Linked DNA regions of Schizosaccharomyces pombe. Changing the gene in region 1 together with any one later gene gives a genetic interaction. Each region holds a gene or a part of one and is shown on either strand. Other genes may lie near its edges.

Region 1 (12,734 bases):
CCATTAAAATAACTTTAGTTTCACTTGTAGGTTAGTTAATACCTAACTTAATAGTTGACCCTTCTATGACTAACTTTTAGTTTCATCATCAATGTTTTCTCTTGTGATTAGAAGAATTCATATAAGGAAATTGTGGTATATTACAGTATTCACAATTAACGCATCTATGTTCAGCGGATTCTTCAACAATCCAAGTCTACTTACACCAAACGAAAACCTACTTTTCCAGGTTGGTTTACATTATAGCTTTGCTGTTTAAAAAACGTAATGACAGCGATGAATTCGAATTTTTCTTATCCTGCATTAGGAGTGGATGGAATCAGCTCCCAAATATCACCAATTCGGGACGTTTGGTCCACGAATTTGCAACAAGAGATGAATCTTATAATGAGTCTAATAGAAAGGTATCCAGTTGTTTCTATGGATACAGAATTTCCAGGAGTAGTTGCTAGACCTCTTGGCGTCTTTAAAAGTAGTGATGACTACCACTATCAAACTTTACGGGCAAACGTAGATTCATTAAAAATCATTCAAATTGGGCTTGCTTTAAGTGACGAGGAAGGAAATGCCCCTGTCGAGGCATGTACATGGCAATTTAATTTTACATTCAATCTACAAGACGATATGTACGCTCCGGAAAGCATAGAGTTACTCACAAAAAGTGGCATTGACTTTAAGAAACATCAAGAGGTTGGCATAGAGCCTGCAGATTTTGCAGAGCTCCTCATTGGTAGTGGATTAGTTTTGCAAGAGGAGGTCACGTGGATAACGTTTCATAGTGGATATGACTTTGCCTATTTATTAAAAGCCATGACACAAATCCCTTTACCCGCTGAATATGAGGAGTTTTATAAAATTCTTTGTATTTATTTTCCGAAAAATTACGACATAAAATACATAATGAAATCTGTGTTGAACAACTCTAAAGGTCTTCAAGACATTGCTGACGATTTACAAATACATCGTATAGGACCCCAACATCAGGCTGGAAGTGATGCCTTGCTAACCGCGAGAATATTTTTCGAAATAAGGTCGAGGTATTTTGATGGTTCCATTGATTCCAGGATGCTCAACCAGCTATACGGTTTAGGCTCAACCGGTAGCGTTTTATGGCACAACAATTCATCTACCCCACAGATTCAATTCAGAGATCTTCCAGGTGCCCATCCTAGTCCTACTCCATCTAATGCTGGGATTCCCACCACTTTAACGAATACTTCTTCGGCACCTAATTTCGCCAATTCAACATTCAGATTTCCTCCTCGTGTAGTTTAGATCACGAGCTAGTTGAAAACATACCGTTAAAAAATTGAAGTCCTTGAAAGTACTTTCGGGATGCTTGTATTTTAACTTAATATATTCTCGTTTTCTCACGTATACCCTTGCTTGAACTTGTTTACTCGATATGCTTTTCTAGATTTTTTCCATAAAATCTATACTTTGGATTTTTATATGTTTTTCTTTTTATTTAAGAGATTGGTTGGAGTTTCCCGCTAATTCAGCATAAAAGTTTTTGTATCCACTCATTTTCGTGAGGAGCATTTTCCTTCTATTTTGTTGCGATGATTTACTTTAAAATTATTCATCTTCATTCCCAGCGAAATGAACTCTCTTGCATCTGGAAGCAAAAAAAGCCTTTCATCGGGTTTTGTATTAATAGATAATATAGTCCATTTCCTTCATATACTGATAATGTATCCGTGTATTTGTAATTCGTAATAGCTTAGCATCCAACCCAGCATCAACGGTGCAAACCGGCGTAGATTTCAAGTCTGATGTTTATCATCGGTCAACTCCAATGCTTCCCCAAAACAGCTCTATGTGCATGTTGTAACAAATCTTCATGCAAGCATCAACTTTAGTTAGTAAAGCTTTTTTTTTTTTGATAGGTGCTTTATCCTGTGATTTAAAATATTACAATCTCAAAACTATTATTTTAGTTTTTAGCTTTTATTTTATCACTAAGGTTCCCAAGCCAATGAACAAAATATCACCTACCTCGTCGTCCCAACCATTTCTTGAGATACTGAAAATTTTCAATAATTCTTCTAGTTAATTTGATCAAGCATAAAAGAATTACCTAAAATTTATTTTATAAAAACTCTAAGATCTTGTTTCTCTTGTTCGACATGCAGAAACTAATTTTTTATAACCTCGCTTAAATCTAGCTTAATTAGCTATAATTGTTTTTCTATTCGCTGAAGATCGTTGTTAAAATTATCGCGATGCATCATTGGCGCGATAAAATTTATCTGATCACAGCTCTTTTAAGAATACTAAGTGTAAGTATTTTTCATTACTACCACTACCAAATCCTTCCTTTTTTAAATCCTTCTAAAATGGCGACTTTACTGCCTCCTAAAAGTAAACGTCAAAAAAAGGAGAGCTTAAATCCTACTACTATAGAAATTCCTGAAAAATTCCCGCTCGTTAACGTTCAGTTTCGGGCGTCAGATGATAGCAATGAACTGGCATCACTTTTAGTTCCTGGAAATAGTTCTGTTAGGCAATTGGAAGCCTTGTTGAACCAATTATTAGAGAATGTAAGAATGAAAGTTTTTTTTCTGTAAATGTGCTAACATAATCCTCACAGTCCGACGATCCTGTTCCGTATAATTTTGCTCTTCATCATGAAGATGAAACTATCGAAATTCAAGATAATTTATACACTTCTGTATTTCACAATGGACTTATGAAAACTGAGGATCACTTAACGTTACTCTACACTCCTCAAGCTGTATTTCGTGTCCGTGCTGTTACTCGTTGTACTGCATCAATGAATGGCCATGATGGTACCATTATATCTGCCCAATTTTCGCCTAGCACAAGCTCGAGGCTAGTTACTGGAAGTGGAGATTTCACGGCAAGGCTCTGGGATTGTGATACGCAAACCCCTATTGCAACCATGAAGGGTCACACTAACTGGGTGTCTTGCGTCGCTTGGGCCCCTGATGCCTCTATCATAGCTACAGGAAGCATGGATAATACGGTGAGTAACTTTTTGATGGATTTATGATTTTTTTGTCGCAAGTCACTAATATTTTTAGATTCGTTTCTGGGATCCCAAAAAGGGGAGCCCTATAGGTGATGCTCTACGACGCCATACGAAACCTATTATGGCACTATGTTGGCAACCTTTGCATCTTGCTCCTGACAGTGGCCCCTATTTACTAGCTTCTGGATCAAAAGACAATACAGTTCGTATTTGGAATGTCAAATTAAGGACGTTGCTTTTTACTCTCTCGGGTCATACCGCGCCAATTACTTGTGTCCGTTGGGGCGGTCAAAACTGGATTTATTCCTCCTCATATGATAAAACCATACGGATTTGGGATGCTAAAGATGTAAGTGAAGGAAATTGTACTTAGGGATTATTTACTTACTAATTTTGAAGGGAAAATGCTTGCATATTCTAAAAGGTCATGCCGCTCGTGTGAACCATCTCTCCTTGTCCACCGAGCATGTCTTGCGTTCGGGTGCATATGATCATACTGATTTTAAACCAAAAAGCTTTTCTGATGAGCGTCGTAAGGCCAAAGAGCGTTATGAGGCTTGTTTAAAACAGTCAGGAGAGAGATTGGTTTCTGCCAGTGATGATTTGCAATTAATATTATGGGATCCACAGAAATCAACGAAGCCCATCACAAAAATGCATGGACATCAAAAGGTAGTAAACCATGCTTCATTTTCTCCTGATGGACGGTGTATTGCTACAGCTAGTTTCGATAGCTCAGTTAGGCTATGGGATGGAAAAACCGGTAAATTCCTTGCAACTTTGCGTGGTCATGTTGCTGCGGTTTATCAATGTGCCTGGTCTACAGATTCACGATTGTTGGTCAGTTCTTCTCAAGATACGACGCTAAAGGTGTGGGATGTACGATCCAAAAAGATGAAGTTTGATTTACCAGGTCATGAAGATCAAGTCTTTGCGGTGGATTGGTCTCCGGATGGACAGCGTGTCGCTTCTGGAGGCGCTGATAAAGCAGTCCGTATATGGTCACACTGATATTTACGCTTTCGGTAGCATAGTTGTTGTTAAAAAATTTAGAACTAATTTCAGGAATTTGGTTTTCTTTTACGGTTTAGGTTAATAAAATGGTTTTGGCTTTTATCCTTAATAACTACTGCATTTATGATTTATTATGACATTAAAATTGATTGACTTTTAGAGGATATTATAATAGACACAAACCTAAAAAAGGTCCAAAAAACGAATTTGTTAAACAAACATTATAGCCTAAAGCAGAAAGCAAGATGCATTTTTAAAGTGTATGGTAATAACAAAAAAAGGATATGAACAAAAAATAAAAAATATTTACATTATACAGCATGCCAGTCCATGGATTACTTTATCTACTTCGTATTTGATGTTTAACCAGTCAATACGACTGTGAAGGATTTCGTAAACCTCTTCGGTATGAAATGCGCTAGAAAATCGAGAAGTATCGGTAGCCAGTTTTCCAATCTCTTCGGCGTTTTTTCCATCAATAATAAATAAATGGGCAATTTCCTTCAATGTCTTAAAATATGGTAAAAGGCTGCTTTGATGAAGAGAGTGAATGAATTCATAATACAAATTACAATCGCTAAAATGAGTCAGTTTTATAATTCTTAAACATAAGGAATAAAATCTCACCTGAGTAACTTTAGCCCGCCATCGACACTGAATTTATGAGATTTTATGTAACGTGTTAAGGAATCGAAAAGTCTCATTCCGACTTCCTTATAAAAAACATCAAGGATTTCATGATCGGCCCTTCCAACTAGAATACGCATGTGGAAACCTAAAAATTGAACCACATTTTTGGCAGCAGCTGTAGGCTCTATAGTATTCGTTATGGAACCTATAGTTTGGTCACTAAATAAATTCATTGGTGTTTTAGTTTCCAGCAAAAAATCGGCATGCTCAATTAGAACATTAATGCCTTTGTGTAATCCGAAAGCTGCCCGTTCATCCAAAAGCTGCTCGAATTTTTTTTTTTCTGCAATTGCAGGGTCAAACATATCATCTTTCACACATATAGGACTCATTTCTTCGTTAAAAAAGCTATCCATCATCTGCTGAATCATATCACCAACATTGATAAGCTCCAAAAATTTCACCACTGGCTCTACAGTATTACTAGAAAAGTCGCGTCGAGGATCAAAAGAAGAGAGATGCTCGATTGCTCGATCAAACCCATGCTTTAAGTGGCCTTGACCTAACTCCCGCAGAAGCTGAACGAATAAGTCCTTCGAAAGCCCTTTAATATCATCATCTTGAGGAACCGAGGTACCCATAAATACTTTAGCACGAGCTAAACTAACTTTGCAAAGATGGACGATTTTCAAAGCTAATTCCAAACTAAACATGGTGCTGATACCTTCAAGTTTTGAGTCCAATACAGCAGCTTGCGCGGCTAATTCGGTAGTAGGGAGATGTTTCAATCGGTCCTTAGAAACATATATATTCGCAGGAACAAATCGGGCAGCATCCAACTTTGAAAGTTCTGGATCTTCTTCTTCTTTCTGCTCTATCGCTTTCTCAGCCAAATTAGATGCACTATTGTTTTCTGACGGTATTGTAAAAAGAGAGACTGGAAGCAGCATTACGTTTTTAAAGGTTTCCAAAAAATTATTTTTGGCAGTATTCTGGCTGACATTTTTGTAAAAAAAGCATTCTGTAGCGTCTTCTTTTTCTTCCAGCTTTTGGTCCCACTGATCAACCAGCGACCAGCCAACAGTTTTAAAGTAATGTAACTCCTGAGAAATGAAAATATCAATTTGCGGTTGAAAAATTGTATCCACTAAAGCCGGTCCATTAGGAATCGAAAAAAACTTCTTGCATAGGCCATAAAATCCAGAAATAAAAACAAGGAACAATTCGGTCTCTTCTTCACCAATATGCTCGCATATTGATATTACATAGTCTTTTAGTGAATTTCCAAGAATGTCTTTAGCATAAGGAACCTGGACAAGCTCAGGCTCAGGTAAAGTAGCTTCAGAGAATTTGGATTCCGACTCTAAAAGCTTGATAGTGTCGTTAACAACAGACTCCAAGATGTTCCAATTAATGTGAATTTCTTCTAGATTATTGGAAATAAACAAACTATACGGATCAAAATGGAAGAAAGACCTAACAAAATCAGTTTGCTTTGCTAGATACATGCTCACGTATGCATTTGGACCACTAAAATCATGAAGAACATGAGAAAACTTACGAAGAAGATCAAGATTACGAGAATGAAGACCTAATTCAAATTCATCAAGACAAGCTTGCTCAAATAATGAAGCCATGTCAAGAATGGCATTTTGCATCGCCTGTCGATAAGTTCCATAGGGATAAGAATTTCCAAACCTAATTAAATACTTCAGAACTTTCGATTGCTCCTCTGGCGTCCGAAAAGCAGAAAATGCAATAGGGTCAATAGTATTGCTAGCATAAGCCAGATTTCGGTAGATAGGAGCCAATGCTCTCCAAACCTTTATGTAATCCAATCTTGCAAATTCAACTCTTTGACTCACACAATCCAAAACTGTCAAAACTACTTGCTTCCCTTGCACTGTTGAGTAATCAACAGGAAAAGGGATCTTTTGGTCGGGTAAGGAAAGAAGTGACGAGGAGGACAGCTTAGGCCGATCAGAGTCAGCATACTTTTTATCACTACTTTGTAAATGAAAGCCTTTGCTGGTGTTGGAAGACATATTTGCTTGAGACATCCCATCTTGACTTTCATAATAAAGCTTTCGAGAAAGTGTAACATCCCAAGCATTCATAAGAAGTAGTTTTTTCACATATATACTATTGTAATCACATAATTGTTGAAATTTTCTACAAACAAGGCGGCAATTACACAGATCTGGGGTAGAAATGAGCGTGAATATCTTTAAGTATATATTGATCGTGAGACATCCAAACAAAGCCTTAAACTGTTGTTTATGTCGCCTTTCTAGATACTCCTTAATCTTCCTTATGGCATGTTCACGAGCTTCCGAAGGCTTCATTCATGAAATCTATTTGGTTCTAGCGAACATGATATTATGATCACAGGTATTCCGCATACTTCATAAAATAGTGACGACTACAGTTACGATTAAAATTACATAACGATTTACAACGATGTTAACTTTTGGTAATGGTATGAAGTGCGTAAAACAAACTTAAAGAATATGGTAGACTACCGTAAGTTTGTCTTGGCGTATATACAGTTGTACAGATAACTCTTGGCGTTATATAACACTGCTCTCGTATATAACCATGATATTGCATAGTATTATAATAAATTATAGCTTATTTACTACTGAGTAATAAAGCTTCAATTGAATGGTTCTGCAGTGCATAAAATTACTGAAAGTTAAATAAAAAACTGTCAACATTCATTTCCAAATGATTTATCTTATTATAGCACAAATGATTATAGCGCGGTTTAGCATATGTTAATTGATATAATGAGTAATCTTAAAAAACTTTAGCCAACTTAGCAGTCTGCTGCGATACCATAAATTTTTATTAAGAGATTTTGCGTAGTAGGCAAATGAAATATAAATTAAATAAGATTCCATTCCACTATTCGTCCTTTTCTATGTTTAAACATAAACAAAAATAAATTACATGTAGAACATATTAGAGTTAGTAACTATATTAATTTACTCTTTGTAACTATCTAGCCACAAGACTGAACAAAACGCTATTCATGTACTTTCAAGGTTTTTTTTGAATGCCATTGAGAAACTAAAAACTGTTGGCTCAATTCAGAATTCCCTTCTTTTTTGTGATGATAAACAAAAAGAATGCAGAACTACTAAATTTCGATGCAGCTTTAAAGGTTCTACTAAATCGCGTATCAACAAGATTATCCTTTCCTTGAGAAATAGTATTTTTGTTTCAACATTTGACATAGATTATTTGTATTTTCAAATAAAAAAAAAGCTATAAACATCGCTTCACTTTAGTTCATACTTTATATTAAAAGTATCATATTCATTTATTTTGTATGCTACATCCCATAAAGTTAATTTAGAGATACAACAAATCCTATCCTCCCAAACCAAATCCTTTCATTAAGAAACATAATAATTTAAAGACCTCAACAAATGCTGTCATAAAAAGCTTTTTTGTTTTGGAAACGAATAAAATCTACAATTCAGTAGCAAGTTCCTTATATCGATTAATAACCCCAATAGATTTATCAGGAACAAGACTTAAAAAGGCTTTCTTTTTTGAGTGAATTCTCTGAGAGCGTGTTTTAACAATTTCGTTTTTGTCGTTTATTTCACAGATCTCACAGCGACTTGCAATTCCTGCGTCTGCAAGACGTCGATTTACAAGAGGACGCAAGGCCACTAGTTTGCCAGTTTTATTGACAATGAGATCTGTGTTTAATGGTTTTAGTATAATATAATTTTCGCCAAAAAGAATAGACCAGGTCAAGTGGTTAAAATCCACAATGTCGTCTAAAACCGAAAAAATGGCAGATTCATCATTTACTTCTTTCAATAATTCTTTCAAGACAAAAGCATTATATCCCGAATCACTAGCATTTGATGAACCGTCTATATGGCTTGCAGTGGCGTTTTCCTCCTCAGGTCCTAATAGACTGTCCGGCTTTAATGGAATTTCAGGATGTTGCAGGTGGTACAAATTGGCTTCCTTAAGCAACATATTGGGCAACTTAGCCTCTCCTTTATTGTAGACCATGACATTTCGTTTAGGTTCAGGGTCAAACGAAACACTTTCTAAACCCAACAACTTTGCGAACATATGTACAAATGCTCTTTGTTCACGACGCATGGATGGAAAACGGAAGGAAGACGCTTTATTGTTAACAAAGTTGCGAAGTAACGACTCAACTTCATCAGCAAAATCAGAATGTTTTCCATAAAATACAAGTAGACTCTTTGTATATTGAGCTACATCGTTGGACCGCCGATCAGTTTTAATGTTCAACGCCTCTGCAAAAAGTTTATTTCGTTGTTGCTGGGAACACTCAAGCGTACAAGACACTTTATGCTGAGGATCTGGGTTATCATATGATGCATCACAAGTGACTTTTTTTCTAATACGGCCGCATTCACACGAGACTTCAAGAGGTGCCTTGCATGGAATCCGCTCATCACATGGATGACCAGCATGGCAGGGAGATTGGCATACATGCTCACAATACATTCTCCTTTTTCCGCACTCTTTTTTGCAACTTGACTCACATTCACCATCAGGATGACAAAGCTTTTCGCAAAAGTGAGTTTTACAGGATAGAAGTTTATTACAGAGCTCCCCACATCTAACGTTTTCTCTATAACAAGGTTGATTTTCTAAAATATGTTTGCCACAAAGACAACGCTTTTTAACAAAATAAGGACAAGGAGGACAAGGTTCCGAGGTAGGATGGCAATTATGCTTGACCTGAGGGTGATGGCAAGATTTTGGAAGAACACAAAGGTAAGGACAATCGGGAATCGGCGTACCACAGGCCACTGGCGGATATAATCTTGTACGTCCACAAGTACACGGAAGCTCCTCAAAGGAAGCCTCCAAACATCGAGGACAGGGACCGCGATGACACATATGCTGACAAAAGTGATTACCACACGAAAGCTTTTTGTTGCAAGGCCGAAAACAAATATGCTCTTCTTCAAATTCCTCAGTAAGAAGATGATATCTCAATTTAGCACCTTTAGGGCGGCGTGCTAACCGTGTTTGTGCCTTTGAATAACCAGAACAACATTTTTTATTACATTGGTGACGTCCACAACTAAGAAGAATCGTACACAGTCGTTCACAGGTAGGAATAAATCCATTTTGTAACTGCTCACATGTAACTTGCACTTCGTTAGCAGTGCATCTACATGGAATGGTCAGTGTTTCCGAACAAGTACCACATGAACCAAGATGACATTTATATTTGCATCTATGGCCACAAGACAGAAGCTTTCCACAAATGTTCTCACAAGTGGGGATAGGATCAGAACAGCTTTTCCTCTCATGTCCCTTAAGCAGAAAAGATATATCTTCCTTTCCACAAGGGCATTTTGTCAATACATCGGTAGCGAAAGGACAATGAGCCCTTGTTTCAGAGATTGGGTGACATGTTTTACTACATTTATGAAGACCACAATCAAAAAATAAAGTACAGGGGTTATTGCACGAGTAGTAACCAAACCACTCCTTCACAGAACCATTCTCATCTTTTTTGCTTATGGAAGGAGATGGTAAAGATGAACAAGGATAAGTTTTTGAATGTAAACCACAATAGCACTTAGCGTTTATAGGTTCAAAACATGCACCGCATAAGCCTGAATGACACCGCTTCTTGCATGTATGTTCACCACAAGGCAATAGCTCATCACATACATTTTCGCAACGAAAAGGTTCCGTATTTACTTTTGAAATATTCGAACATCGAGCATGTATACTTTCCTTGCCACAAAGGCAAAACTTTTCCACAGTAGCGGTACAAGGAGGGCAAGGTCCAGGATGACAAAGCAAGGGACAAGGGTGTTCGCAATCTTGACCTCTAGTTTTACCACAGGGATCACCGCAGGAATGTGGTACCAAGTTTTTGACAAACTCAGGCTTCTCCTGTTTTCCGCACCAACAGAGATAATGAAGAGAAGTTTCCGTTTGATTACTTTGACAATAAGGACAACGCCAAGCGTCTTCATTTCTTTGTTCGATTGAGTTTTTACACCATTTACGAATACAAGATAGATGGAAAACATGGTAGCAAGTACCACAGGACCAGATCGATGTAGAAGGGTTAATGGTATCGGTACAGACGCTACACTCATAAAGTCTGTTCTTCAATTCCACTATCATCCTAGAGGTCATATCTAATTTAGAAAGGTCCAATCCTTTTTTTATTTCTTTCGAATTTTTTGGCATCCGACTCTTCGCTTCCCGTGACCTCTCGCTTTTATTGTTAACAGAACCTTTGCTACTAGAGGTTTCTTGACTAGAGTTAGAAGACTTCAAGTCAACTGCCTGTTTTTCAGAATGCTTAGAAGATCTTTTTCGATTTTTAGATCTTTTCCCTTCTCCCTTTGCATGCTTTCGCAATTCTTCATCCTTAGATGAAACAGCATCTACGATATCAGACGCTTTGTGTCCATTATTCTTAGATACGTTTAATTGAACGGAGGAAGTGGGGACAAAGATTGGTGCACTCGCAGAAGGATGGAACTTGCTGGAATCTTCCTTTAATGAAGTCTTTACCTCTTCATTGTTTTGGGATATGGTTGTTTTAAAATTTGGTAATTCTGAACCTGAAGAAGGTGATATCGATTTCTTTTGTGATTTTTGAAACCTTCGTCTATTTTTTTTTACATTTGCAGGTTTTTTAGGCAAATCGGAAGGATTTTTAGATGTTTCCATCCAGAAAGTGTATAAGGCACTCGACAAGTTAGCATCGTGGCAACTTCTTGGAATATAAGCACAAAATTGGCGAGGTGACAAAACCTGTATTGGAAACCAAAACAAAAAGGTAAAACACCTCTATATTTTGAATATACAATAGTTTTTACTCAGGGAGAATAATTATCTTCGAAGGACGACAAATAAAAATGACTTGTTGAATGCGCATTTTAATTAAGGATGGTAGAATTAATGTAAACATGTTCATTGCTTTGAACTCTCTTGACTTCTTTTAGACTCTTCCTATCTTTATTACAAAGAACGAAAGTTTGCTTCAATAATAAATAATTGTCTTAAATTTAACTATCAGTTTCATGTAGGTCTTATGAATATAGTCAACTATTTTTAAACTAAACTCAACTTGGTAACTTCTATTTGGTGGTCCAAAATTAACGTAAATGACTTAAAAGAAAGAACAGAATGCGACAATTCTATGGCAAAAGACTTGTCAAGGTTGTTGCCGGTAAACGACGACATTATCCAACATTGTGAATCAACAACTTATGTAAAACAGTTTTTAAAAGCCATCAAATGAACGGATAATATTTTGATGGGGAAATTTTCAAAAATCGGTTTCGGCCAGCCGAAACAACGAGAATGATGACAAACAATTTGATTACAAATTGAATATAATAAGATGAAAAAAACAACCATAATTCAAAAGAAAAAACATGACTGAAAACCGTTGACCAGGAATATCAGGCATTTTGAGACCCTTTAAATTTATTCAGAGTCAAGCCGATCAGTAAAACATGAGTTAGCCATAAGGCTAGCGGAAAAACACAAAAGAGACAAGCATGCAATGGATGTTATGAAATTGAATTGATCGCGCAAGAAGCCTGCAACAAGGGGACCAATAATCATACCTAAAGAATAGACAATATTATAGGCACTAAAGAGCTGAGTATAGGGTCCGTTATGCCCAAAAAAAGTGGGATGTTCGAGCTCATATTCAGCAACGTAATGAGAAGATTGAACAAAACCGGGGGATGATGTGAATGCCAAAACCACTCCATTAATAGCCAGGAAAGCAGAGAACAAATAAATGTTAAGACTAGTATTTGTTCGAGGAATACACAAGAGGAACAACGTACATCCCAAAATAGCATACGCACGCTTACCTATAGTACGAGAACCACGGCGATCAACCATTGCACCAGCCCAAGCACCACAAAAAAAATATGGTGTACTCAACACTCCAAACATAAGACCACATTGGAGCGAATTAAAGTCAAAAAGCGTTTTCAGCTCTAAAGGAATAGTAGCATCAAAGGCAGAGAAAAGGCACGAATTGACGAAACTAGTCCAGAATGGACCAAAGATTTGTTTATGATGTAACAAGGAG
Region 2 (12,096 bases), on another chromosome or scaffold:
ATGGTTTCCATGTTGTTCGAGTTCCCAGCGATGCCGCTGGTTTCCAACAAAGACAACAGCAAGAGGAAGGAGTGCTTGAAGCCCATACAAATGAAAGTGCCCCAATAGCCCCATTCCCTTACTGTACAGATGATTTCTCGTTTTCCGTTGAAGAAAAAAGTAGTGTCAACAACTTGCTTACACAATTTGATGAGGTTGCTAAACCTGATTTTGTAAGTACGCCGATAAAAGAAAATGTTGATTCTTCTTTTATAAACATGACTCCACCTGATGTTTCACATGCTCCCTTAATATCTCGGATTATTCCTAATAAGGGTTCAATCATGGGAGGTTATGAAGTTACAATTCTTGGCGCGAACTTTTTTAATGGATTAGTCTGTTTATTTGGTGACAACCCAGCTGCTGTAACTTTTTCGTGGAGTGAGTCAACGATTATAGCGACTTGTCCTCCTGCAACTAATGCTGGAACCGTTCCTGTAACCTTTCAGAACTATAATTCATCTTCTGAAGCGCCAGTAATGTTTACTTATGAAGATAATTTAGATAATGAACTTTACAAATTAACTGTTCAAGTTTTAGGCTTAAAACTTACTGGATCTATTCAAAACCCATTAACGTTATCCAAAAAATTGTTGAGTTCATGGCGCGACGATTTTGCTCAATATATAACAAATTCTATTAAGCAGCCTCCTAACAGTGAATCTAAAGGTCAGTCTAAAAAAACCTTATTGCATGATAGCAATATGGAATCGCTTAAATCGGTTATTTCGCGGATTGTGAAAAAAGACAGTAATCAGTCTGATGACAGTGTTGAAAGTACTATCCTCGCAGCATTTGCTCTTGTTACAGATACAACGACACCATACCTTTCTGATTTTAGTCTTGTTAACGAATCTGGTAGGTCACTTCTCCACCTTACTGCTGCCTGTGGATTGTCTAATGCTTCGACGTTCTTATGCAACGCAGGATGCGATGTTAACAAAAGGGACGCACTTGGCTATACACCACTGCATTATGCTTCATTGTATGATCATAAAGACATATGTGTTAATTTACTTTCCAACGGTGCCAAGCCTGATGTTATAGGAGCTAGCGGTAAAAAACCGATAGACCTCTCCTCTTCTGAGCCTATAAAACTGGTCTTTAAGGAAGCAAATAATGAACAAGCCCAAAGTATTTCTCGCTCTCTTATTAAGGATTCTGAAGGCTCCATTAATACAAATGAAACCTTAGAATCAACCAGTATTGTTAACGAAATTGAGGAATCTGCTGTTCAGACCAAGTCATATAGTGAAAGTATGTGGAATAAAACTGTTACAATGTTTCCATCGCTTCAAGAACTACCTCAGAATTATATGAGTGAAGTTCCATCCATGATGCAAAAAGCCATGCTGTCAACCTTAAAAAGTATATCGGCCATTCCCGATGATGTACCCCCTCCTTATTCTGAGTTTGCTGATGATACGACAGCGCAAGCTGGTTCTAGTAAAAGAGATAGCGCTATATCTGAAGATCCCGATCATCACAAAAGTGTTTGGTGGTCTTTGAGATGGCAATCTCGGCTTGTTGGTCGTGGAAAATCTACTGCTCTTACTCCTGAAGAAACCAGAGCAATACAGGAGCAGGCAAAGACACTGAAAAAGGCAGGAATGGACTTTATGCTATTCTCTTTCTGGTTACCTGCCCTACTTTTGCTGAGTATCTTTGGTCTTCGAAGCTATGCTCAAATGATCGGGGGATATTTATATCGCTGCATAATTGGCATTTAGGTTTGACGAACAACCATGCATGTTTTTTTCTTTCTTTTAGTTTTATTCTTTTTTGTAGATTATGAGCAAACTACTGTCAAAACTTAGGTATTATGACAATGAAATCGTATATATTATATTCGATTGGATCAATTTTTTATTATATTGAAAGTAATTGCTTATTTTGTAAGTTAAACTTACATGGGTTTAAACGCATAGAGCAGGTTGGCGCTTTTAAAACCAAAATAGATCGTTGCAGGTTTGCTGTTCTGGATCGTGAATGCAATACCTTAGGAAAGTCTTTTAATAAGCTATCGCTTTTTGCATTGCATTCTTTTTCTAAACTGAACGTTAGATTAGCTAAAGTAAGCGTCTTGAGTTTTCGAGATGAACCGCATACATTAAAATTTTTAAGTACCAATTGGCATGAACCGGTATGCGATCTGCTTATTATAATACTAGTAAATCTTGATACTCGGCAAACTCTTTCAATAATAGCCTAGCAGAAACTGGGATATGTCTAAAGTTTTACAACTGCGCTCAGCTTAAGGACTTTACGGCGATCCATTTAATAGCTAGCCATGAACACTCATAACCTCAAGATTGAGGAGTGGGTCATTCTTTTGCTTGATAAAGAAACAAATTCATTATTGGTAAAATAAAACTGAATAACCCTTAGTTCATCCTAGGAATTTGAAGAAGGGGAATGATCAAGCTTGAACAAGTAACTCTCACGCAGTCTATTGAATAATCTGAAGGTTCATCACTTTCAAGGGGTTGTCTTGGTTTAAAAAGCTTTTACCAATTCCATTTAGGTTTCTGAGAAAGGCTAAAACTCATTTGTTGTTCTTAAAGGATATTTGGATCATTCGTTGATCAAGCATGGGAGAGGACGTTATTGACAGTCTTCAGTTGAATGAGTTATTAAATGCTGGAGAATATAAGATTGGAGTGAGATATCAATGGATTTATATTTGTTTTGCTAACAATGAAAAAGGAACTTACATTTCAGTCCATTAGAAGCTCTCAAGAATTACAAAAGAAGAATACTATTGTCAATTTGTTTGGAATAGTAAAAGATTTTACCCCTAGTCGCCAAAGTCTACATGGAACTAAGGGTATGCTTGCTTATCATGGTGGAAACTATACTTTTTATTTTTCCAGTCAAGAGCTAATAATCATGTTTTTAGATTGGGTAACCACCGTATATTTGTGGGATCCAACATGTGATACATCAAGCATCGGACTACAGATACACTTGTTCAGCAAACAGGGAAATGATTTGCCTGTAATCAAGCAGGTGGGGCAACCGCTTTTGCTTCATCAAATCACATTAAGAAGTTATAGAGACAGGACTCAAGGTTTGTCTAAGGATCAATTTCGATATGCACTTTGGCCAGACTTTTCTTCTAATTCCAAAGATACTCTCTGTCCTCAACCAATGCCTCGTTTAATGAAAACGGGAGACAAGGAAGAGCAATTCGCCTTGTTGTTAAATAAAATTTGGGATGAGCAAACTAATAAACATAAAAATGGCGAATTATTGAGTACCTCTTCTGCTCGTCAAAATCAAACTGGATTGAGTTACCCTTCTGTCTCTTTTTCTCTGCTATCACAAATAACTCCACATCAACGTTGTAGCTTTTACGCTCAGGTAATTAAAACTTGGTACAGTGATAAAAACTTTACTCTTTATGTCACTGATTATACGGAAAATGAGCTTTTTTTTCCAATGTCTCCGTATACTAGCTCCTCGAGATGGAGGGGCCCTTTTGGTCGGTTTTCTATAAGGTGCATTTTATGGGATGAGCACGACTTTTACTGCCGCAACTACATTAAAGAAGGTGACTATGTGGTTATGAAAAATGTGCGAACCAAAATTGATCACCTTGGTTATCTGGAATGTATACTTCATGGGGATTCAGCAAAACGTTATAATATGAGTATAGAAAAAGTCGATTCGGAAGAACCCGAACTAAACGAAATTAAGTCACGTAAAAGGCTTTATGTTCAGAATTGCCAAAATGGTATAGAAGCAGTAATCGAGAAACTCAGTCAAAGCCAACAATCGGAAAATCCTTTTATCGCCCATGAATTAAAGCAAACTTCTGTTAATGAAATTACGGCCCATGTCATAAATGAACCTGCTAGTTTAAAATTGACTACTATTTCTACCATACTTCATGCACCTTTGCAGAATCTTCTCAAACCGAGGAAACATAGGCTACGCGTTCAGGTGGTAGATTTTTGGCCAAAGAGTTTGACGCAGTTTGCTGTGCTATCTCAACCACCATCTTCGTATGTTTGGATGTTTGCCTTGCTCGTAAGGGATGTATCGAATGTGACTTTACCGGTCATATTTTTTGATTCTGACGCTGCGGAACTTATTAACAGCTCAAAAATCCAACCTTGCAATTTAGCTGATCACCCGCAGATGACTCTTCAGCTTAAAGAAAGATTATTTCTGATTTGGGGGAACTTGGAAGAACGCATTCAGCATCACATATCGAAGGGTGAATCGCCAACTCTGGCTGCTGAAGATGTTGAAACACCATGGTTTGATATATATGTCAAAGAATACATTCCTGTAATTGGGAACACCAAAGACCATCAATCTTTGACTTTTCTTCAGAAGCGCTGGCGAGGATTTGGCACGAAAATTGTTTGACTATTGTGATACAAAACTTACAATAATGAAATGCTTACGGAAAAGAAACATAAGAAAAACAATATTTAAATTTAAGGAAAGCTCTATATTGGGAGAATTTTATAAAGCGAGCGAATTTGTACTAAGGAAAAACACAGAGGGGAAACGTGAAATATCTAATTGCTTAGACTTTATATAACATCAACTTCGAAATAATCTTAGAAATTAATTACAAAAATAATAAGGATTGGTTTGATGTATGGTGGTTACATCTAAGCAGGCTTTTGCTTAGAAGTTGCAAGTGTTGAGGCATCATCATCACTTTCATCGTCAACAGCGAATAGAGCTTGATGCTCATCGGCACTGCCATGAATAATATGAGGGTTGGCTGGAGATGTAGGACGCTCATGATGCAGATGCAAACTATCATTTGAGAGAGAGGAAGTCATCTCAAACTCATCTACATCTTGAGCAACTTGCTCACTCATTGCGAAACGACGGTTATTCTCGGTAGGACGCCACAAGTACAAAATGGTAAGCATCAAGATCAAAACAAGAATATCAGTGTATCCGTAATTAAGGAACCAAAGAAGTTTCCAGTATTTTAAGTAATAGTTCATTTGACCGTAGATACCAATCAAAATGGCATTGGCTGCGACAATCGAAGCATAAGCGACAATGCCAAAACATATAACAATCCAAAGACGAGTATACATCTGAGCCTTAACAGTTTGCTTACGAATACGGAGATCACGAATTGTATTATTTAAAGCCAATACAATCCAAAGGAACATAGCGAAGAGGGTGATTAAAAAGACAGGAGCGGCAAACAAAATGACCAAAGACTCTTTATTAGATGGGCTAATGAACAAAGATGACAAGAAAAAGCATGAAGAAACGAACTGCAAACCAGCAAGAATTTGACACTTACGAAGAAGACTTCCCAAACTAGGAACAACAATAGAGTAACCCAGTGAAACAATTAACAGCAAAAATCCGAAATAGGATTGACGAGCGGATTGAGCTAACGACAAAAAGAAAGCAAAAACTTTACTACCTGTAGTGTAACCTTTGCTATTCGCGAAATAGAAATAACCTGTAGAGACCATAGTGCAAACAATAGAAAGAGCAACAACACCTGAAATATACTTTTGAACTTGAAGGAGATCATGCCTATAGCGGAACATAATAAAAGACCACCAAATTCCAATTAAACAATTGATCGCCAAAAGAATGGGATTTAAAAACAAATGAGGATAATCAGTAGCATCCAAATTGCCAAAATAGTTTTCCCAGGTTACGGTGATTTTGTAAGCCTCGCTGGAGCCTTCAAGGGGTGCGGTAAAGACGCAATATAGACCAGATTGCTCAACCGGATATTTAAGGGGACTAACCATGGATTCAGCGTCTACGGCGGCTGAGTAAATAGAATCGTGGGGAGCGGTTTGGTTAATCAAGTAAAGACCATAATCATCGTCCTTGCAAACACCGGCTTCAATGTCTTCGTAGTTACATATATAATGCTTCTCGCCATCATCGTCTTCCATGCCGATGGCATTAACATCTTTCCAGTTAAAAATTAGCAAACGAATGGCGCCGCCAAAGTCAGATGTATAAGAATCGATTTTCACTATGTTCAAAGTTAGTAACAAAACTTAACAAATAGTAAAAAAGATTAACATAAAAAGGTGCTTAAGAAATACAGTCAAGATTTCGACAAAACGATATAGATAAAGATCTGCAAAACTCTGAAAAGATTAAGCAACGATCAATTTCCCATCGCTAGTAACTGAAACATATTCAAAGAAAAGATGAAGAAACAGCATAACTCTTAGTGTCAAAACACGATAAAAGGCTCGTAATGTTGATTTCCGTCGCCAAAAAATTCCCGATTCCTCAAGCAACTATGAAAGCCTATATAAAATTCACATACGAGTAATCTCTGATGTTTTTCCTTTTTTGGCAAACATTCCATTACAGACTTGAGATGCCATAATATCCTCAGTCTACAAAATTATTGCAATTAGTTAGCGTCCAATATTCTACTCTGGATTCCGACTATCAACCACTATAATCCACGTACCAAAAGACTTTTATTATCGGAAGCATTTACAATGAAGAAATGCAAAAAGCATATAAACCCTACAAGAGCCGACTTTAAAATCGCCATTTTGGAGCTTGGTTCTTGTTCGGTTGTTCAGATCAACTGCGTAAGGGGTACGAAAGGCGCTGCTCGTTTAGCGACACATTAAATCTTGCTATACTTTTAGTGAGCGGAACTAGTTAAGTCACTATATAATAAAAGAAGCGGCAAAGCTTGCAAAAATGCAAATTAAAAGAAAAACTAGTTTATTTAAGGAGAATAACTTCTATAATAAAGCATGTATTCTTTATTTGTTTCCAGAATAACACGCTATTGTATAAGGAGAGACACGCCTTTTTCAGATTATATGCGGTACGTTAGATAAGCATATTATATTAGTAAATAAACTCAATTTCAAAAAAATGAAGAATTATAAAGCACTGAAGAATGGTATTTCTAGTAACACTGCCAAATCTATATTGTTTAAGTGAAAATTGGAGGACAGACGTATGCTCTAGCGAAATATAGATTAAAAAAAGAAAATGATCATCGTCCGCTGAGATCATGAAACGCTATTAACTAAATACTGTTTTTTCTTCTCGTTTTTCTTACCAGACATTGATAAGCTGTTTAAAATGCTAGTAATTGAGCAAACCAAATCATTGTTTACTTGGTTTGGTGACTTCTGTTATACACGCAAAACCAAAGATAATCTGATAACGAAGCTAAAGAAATCTAAGTACAAGTCACCCTTTAAACACTTCAAAAAACCTCAGTATCACATTCCATGATATCTCAAAGTCTTGAAGATGAAATGGCTTACAAATATTAAAAGCAATAAGTGCTACAATAATTTTTGTTTCTTAATGTATAAACAAACTCAGCAATTGCGGTGTAGAGAATTGAGAAAAATGGATATTCGTTTGTTTTATATAACAAAGATTTATGGAAAAGTTTAAGTAATATGCCTGAAAATGCAAAATGACATGTAGATAATGAAAATGCAGTAGAGTTTGAGTAATTTGGATATTTTTTAATAAATTCCTAATTAGGAAAATTTTAAAATAGTAAAAGTTTGTTTGTTTGTTTTTGGTATTTTCTATGTTGACGGAGAAGGCGAAAGAGCAATTAAAATGTTAAAAAGGCAATAATCAATCAAGCAAGTATGGCAAAAGCATACACATGAAGTATAAAAATCCAACGTTGAAAAGATACGCTCAAAGTTGAATATAACTATTCAATTGTTTACTCAGAGGTGCAATTCAAATTGTACTTGAGAGTGCGGTTGCTGTACATGGCTCCAAAGTAGGGTTCAACGGAAGAGGAGTCACCCTTCCAGTCCTCGTCAAATGCCTCGAAAAAGAAGATATCAATGCCCTTACGACGTATGTTACACAAGGCCTCTTGGAAGAATTCACTAGCAATATCAACCGTGGCATCAGCCTCTCCATAAGAAGGACCATCAGTAGGCCAACCAGTCTCACCAACCCAAAAGGTAACGTTGTTGGTACCCTTGACGGATTGGACGCGCTCTAAAGCAGCCAAAGTATCGGAGATGAAGGTGTTGGTCATGTTACTGGTGTTTTGACCTTGCCAGTAAGGGAAGTCATTCGACATGATAAAGTCACTGGCAGTAATAACAACATCACCGCTACCACCAGCCCACAAGTTCCAACTATCCGCAGTACCAACGGGAACATCGAAGCCGAGCTTTTGTTGAACAAGGCCACGGACGTCGTAAATGCGTTCGGCAAGGACGTCAGCAGGTAGATCATTCCTGTACAAGACTTCAGAGCCAACTGTTATAGCTCTAACATGATCAACACCATACTGAGGCAAATACTGCATAAGAGCTTGCTTTTCCAAATCGTAATGAGCGTCGTCAGTGGGCCAAACACCGAGGATGGCAGAAAAGTTGTAAGGCGACTGAGCAAGTGCGGGTAATAAGTACTCGAGAGTGTTACAATCACTAGTGGCATAGGTACGAATCATGTTGGTGTAAGGAGCAAGGACCTCAAAATCAGCCAAGTAATCGTCCGTATACTTGCAGGTGCCATCAGCATGCTTCACGCCTAAGCAGAAGCTGAGAGTGCCATTGGTAGAGGCAGGCTTGGTGGAAGAAGCGATTTCGGAAGCAGCTTCATCAACAGCCATAGCAGAAAGAGGCAACAAAGCCAAAGCGGCAAACACAAAAGACGAAAGGAATTGCATTTTTGGTGATGAAAAAGAATAAGACAATTGAGTTAAAAAATGAAGTAAAAGTAGAATAAAAAAAATTTGATCGAAAACGGTTTAAAAGATAAAAAAGAAAACTTGAGATAGAGAAGAAACTTTTAACACCTATTAAATTCAGAGACGAATCCAAAAACTATAGTAGAAACGTTGAATTGAGTGGATTGTTGTTTAAACGAAGAATGTTTTAAAGCGAGAAAGAAAAGAGTGGAATGACCCTTTATGTTGGGAAAAACAAAAGAAAAGAAAATAAAATAAATGCGACTGAAAAAGGAAAAAAAAAATTTTAACCAATGTAAACTCCTGCTCACTATCCACAATGGGCAGGCCAGAGGCTCTTAAATATTATTTCTATTACAATGCAATGTTAAATCTCACTATTTTTTACGACAATGGTGGAGTATGTCGGAAGGGAAAAAGTGGGTAAATGAGGTTATTGAACATTCGGTTCACTAAGCCTCGAATCATGAGTACATTGTTTCATTAAAAATGTTGAAAATACATGAAATAAACGAATGTTCAAACGTTTTCTATGCGATCGACAAGCCATATCTCAAGATTTCATCACTTGAGTTGTCCTTTCTAATTAAAATTTTTTGGAATTTTTTAGAAACCAAATCAAAGGTTTATATGTTCAAATTGGTGGGGTTCAATAAACAAATAAGATTGTTTATTTGAAATAATTTTTTGAATTGTTTTCTAAAGCTTCTACTATTTTTTGTATTTTTTCCTAAATTTTTTTAATTAATTTTTATATTAATTTGAGGAAATTTCTCAAAAGTTCCAACACAGTATTCTAGCCGCATTATTGAATCCATTCGTTTCTTATCCAACATATATCTTTATTCTGTTTTGTTTTTATTTTTAGCCGAGTGCATGGATTCATGTTCTTGACCTTTTTACGAGGGAAGAATCTTTATTTTTTTGGAATATGGTATTTTGATGATCTATCGATGTAAAAATGAAATGCGCTGTACATTTAAAGGATTTTTTGATTCATCACAGAATTTCTAATTTAAATGATATTTAATGTATGATTGATTTGTATTCAATAAAGTTAGTTAAAACTCATTTTCTTACTTATTTAGTGAAAGAATCTTTCCTTGTAAAAAATTTCACTAAACACACTTCCGCTCAAATAAGAATTCGTAGCGGTCCGAAAAAATTTCTTTTTAAATCCGTCAGCGGAATTAGGATTCTTTTCTTGCCACATGAATGGAATACGAGTAAAGGGTAACAATAGCGTAAACAACTGGGAGAAAAGATTGAAAGAAGGGAGAATCAACGAATTTGGTTTGGCCTGTGTATGAAATAGTATTATATAACCGAATTAAGGAACAGAGTAAATAAAAAGATGCTTGTTTTTATGGAGATGTGTTCTGCTTAAAAAAATAAAAAAAAAAAACAGTGTTTTGTTTTGTTGGTCTTTGTAAAATACGAAGAAATGAATTTTACTTTTTAAGAAACTTAATATTTTATTTATTTTGTTATTTTCCCTATGTGTCATATTGTGAATGATTTTTTTCTTAGTATAGAAGTTGACTTTTTTTAGTATATGTATTTAATATGTTGTATCTTTCTTCCTTCTATTCCTACCTGCCTATACAAAATCCCTATTTATTATACGCGCATATATACATACCATCCCAAATCTGTTGCTGATGAAAACATAATATATATTTATATTTATAGGTATACTAAGATATAGATAGACGTATGTATATAGCTTGCATATTTACATGCGCAGATAGAAATTATATACTTACTTGTGTGGTTAATTACCAGTTCTATCTGTTTGCATCGGTTCGTCATCAGATATAGTATGTCGAAGGTTACAGTACCAAACATAAAACAACAAAAACAATGCTTACTGAAAAGTCATAGAAAACGTAAAAACATAAACTGTCTGGAAGGAAGAAAAAAAGAAGAATTTGGAAAGACGCGCAGGTTCAAAACCATGAGACCTACTCGGACAATGGGATGGAAGTAGAGGATTGGGAACTCTTGTAAGCAGCCTCAATGATCTTCTCTACCAACAAAACTTGATGAGGCTTCACCGAAGTTTCAAAGGTCTTCGTGACCAAGGCTTCATGCACCTCCAAATAGAATCGACGATAATCACCGGCAATGGTCATTAAAGTGCTCTTCGTAGGTTTTGGGGGGTGTCTGACATCGATGTCGGGAGGTAGGGTCCAAAGGGTTGCATAATGATGGGAGGAATCGACACCATAACCTGGATCCATGGGAGACATTCCTTCGTTCAATTGGGACTCTTGGGGATCAATGCCAAACTTCAAAAAGCTACCGCGCGTACCCTTGATAATATAACGCATGTCCAAACCACAAGAAATGCTGGAGGAGCACACAATAACGTCAAGAGGAAGTCTTCCTTCTTGGGGCAGATAGTGGAGAACGATGCGGAAGCAATCCTCCACCTCCAAAGGTGGGATCTGACGTTGTGATTCGAGCTTTGCCGTTACGGAATGGGGAGTGCCAAACAAGGTGATGGCCTGATCGATCAAATGAGAGCCCAAGTCATACACCAAACCACAGCCGGGATTAGGAACATCCTTCCAATTACCTTTACGGAAAAGGCGAAAGCGATCGATATGCGACTCGAATTGCACAACTTCGCCCAAACGACCATTTTCGATGCATTCCTTTGCCGTCAAGAAATCACCATCGAAACGACGATTTTGATACACGGTCAACATGAGGTTTTTGGACTTGGCGAGATCGAACAGCTCCTTGGCCTCGCCGTAGGTGGGAGTGAAAGGTTTTTCACACAACACATGCTTACCGGCATTGAGCGCTTGAGAAACGACCTCGTAGTGGACGTTGGGAGGGAGTGAAATGACGACTAATTCGATGTTGGAGTCAGCCAAGAGCTCGTCGAGTTTGGTGTACACCTTTACGTTTGGAAAGGCAGCGCGGGCTTTCGATTCGGTGCTGGTAGCACGGCGCTCCCAAGCAGCATAAACCTCGAAATGGTTGGGTAGCGCCTTTAAGAAGGGATAGTGGAAGATAAAGGCAGACATGCCAGTACCGAGAACGGCAGTTTTAATAGGCGCCATTGAGAGTAGTAGGGAGGGGAATCAAAAGTAATGTTTCTACAAGAGGAATGTTAGTAAAGATGCGACAAGACAGCCACAGGGAAGGGCAAGGGCAAGGGCAAGGTAGAAGAGGAACCAAAGGTGGATAGAAAGAGCGCGCGCACAATATTAAGGCATCACAAGCGCTCCATGCGATGTCAAGTAACGCATTGCAACTCAACTCAATCATGATGTGTATTTCCTGAACCATCTCTATTCCGCAATCGCAATCGCACCCGCGCTTGCACTTGCACTTGTACTCGCCAGCTTACTACATACCTTGCTTGAAAAATG

The links.
Region 2: of pof6 (region 1) and SPOM_SPAC26H5.07C, a mutation in one rescues a mutant of the other (synthetic rescue), as found in Schizosaccharomyces pombe (one large-scale study listed by BioGRID).

What each region holds. Positions count from the first base shown.
Region 1 is NC_003421.2:1,954,380-1,967,113, reverse strand, and holds pof6 (exocyst complex subunit Exo5-like, F-box protein Pof6), read right to left. Parts: upstream 7,006-12,734; 5' UTR 6,985-7,005; coding exon 4,637-6,984; exon of another isoform or gene 4,587-4,636; coding exon 4,316-4,586; downstream 1-4,315. Other genes in the region: oligosaccharyltransferase complex zeta subunit Ost5, read left to right, coding at 81-259; CCR4-Not complex CAF1 family ribonuclease subunit 7/8, read left to right, coding at 268-1,275; ribosome biogenesis protein Rsa4, read left to right, coding at 2,340-2,543, 2,594-2,989, 3,048-3,344, 3,395-4,006; SPOM_SPCC18.03 (shuttle craft like transcriptional regulator), read right to left, coding at 8,117-11,350; SPOM_SPCC18.02 (transporter), read right to left, coding at 12,113-12,734. UniProt on the Schizosaccharomyces pombe protein: Together with skp1, essential for septum processing and cell separation.
Region 2 is NC_003424.3:4,126,899-4,138,994, forward strand, and holds SPOM_SPAC26H5.07C (seven transmembrane receptor protein), read right to left. Parts: upstream 6,583-12,096; 5' UTR 6,566-6,582; coding exon 6,479-6,565; exon of another isoform or gene 6,402-6,478; coding exon 6,329-6,401; exon of another isoform or gene 6,106-6,328; intron 6,026-6,105; coding exon 4,668-6,025; 3' UTR 4,508-4,667; downstream 1-4,507. Other genes in the region: mga2 (IPT/TIG ankyrin repeat-containing transcription regulator), read left to right, coding at 1-1,769; shelterin complex subunit Pot1, read left to right, coding at 2,631-2,699, 2,746-2,866, 2,939-4,416; glucan beta-glucosidase Bgl2, read right to left, coding at 7,724-8,689; SPOM_SPAC26H5.09C (gfo/idh/mocA family oxidoreductase), read right to left, coding at 10,675-11,784.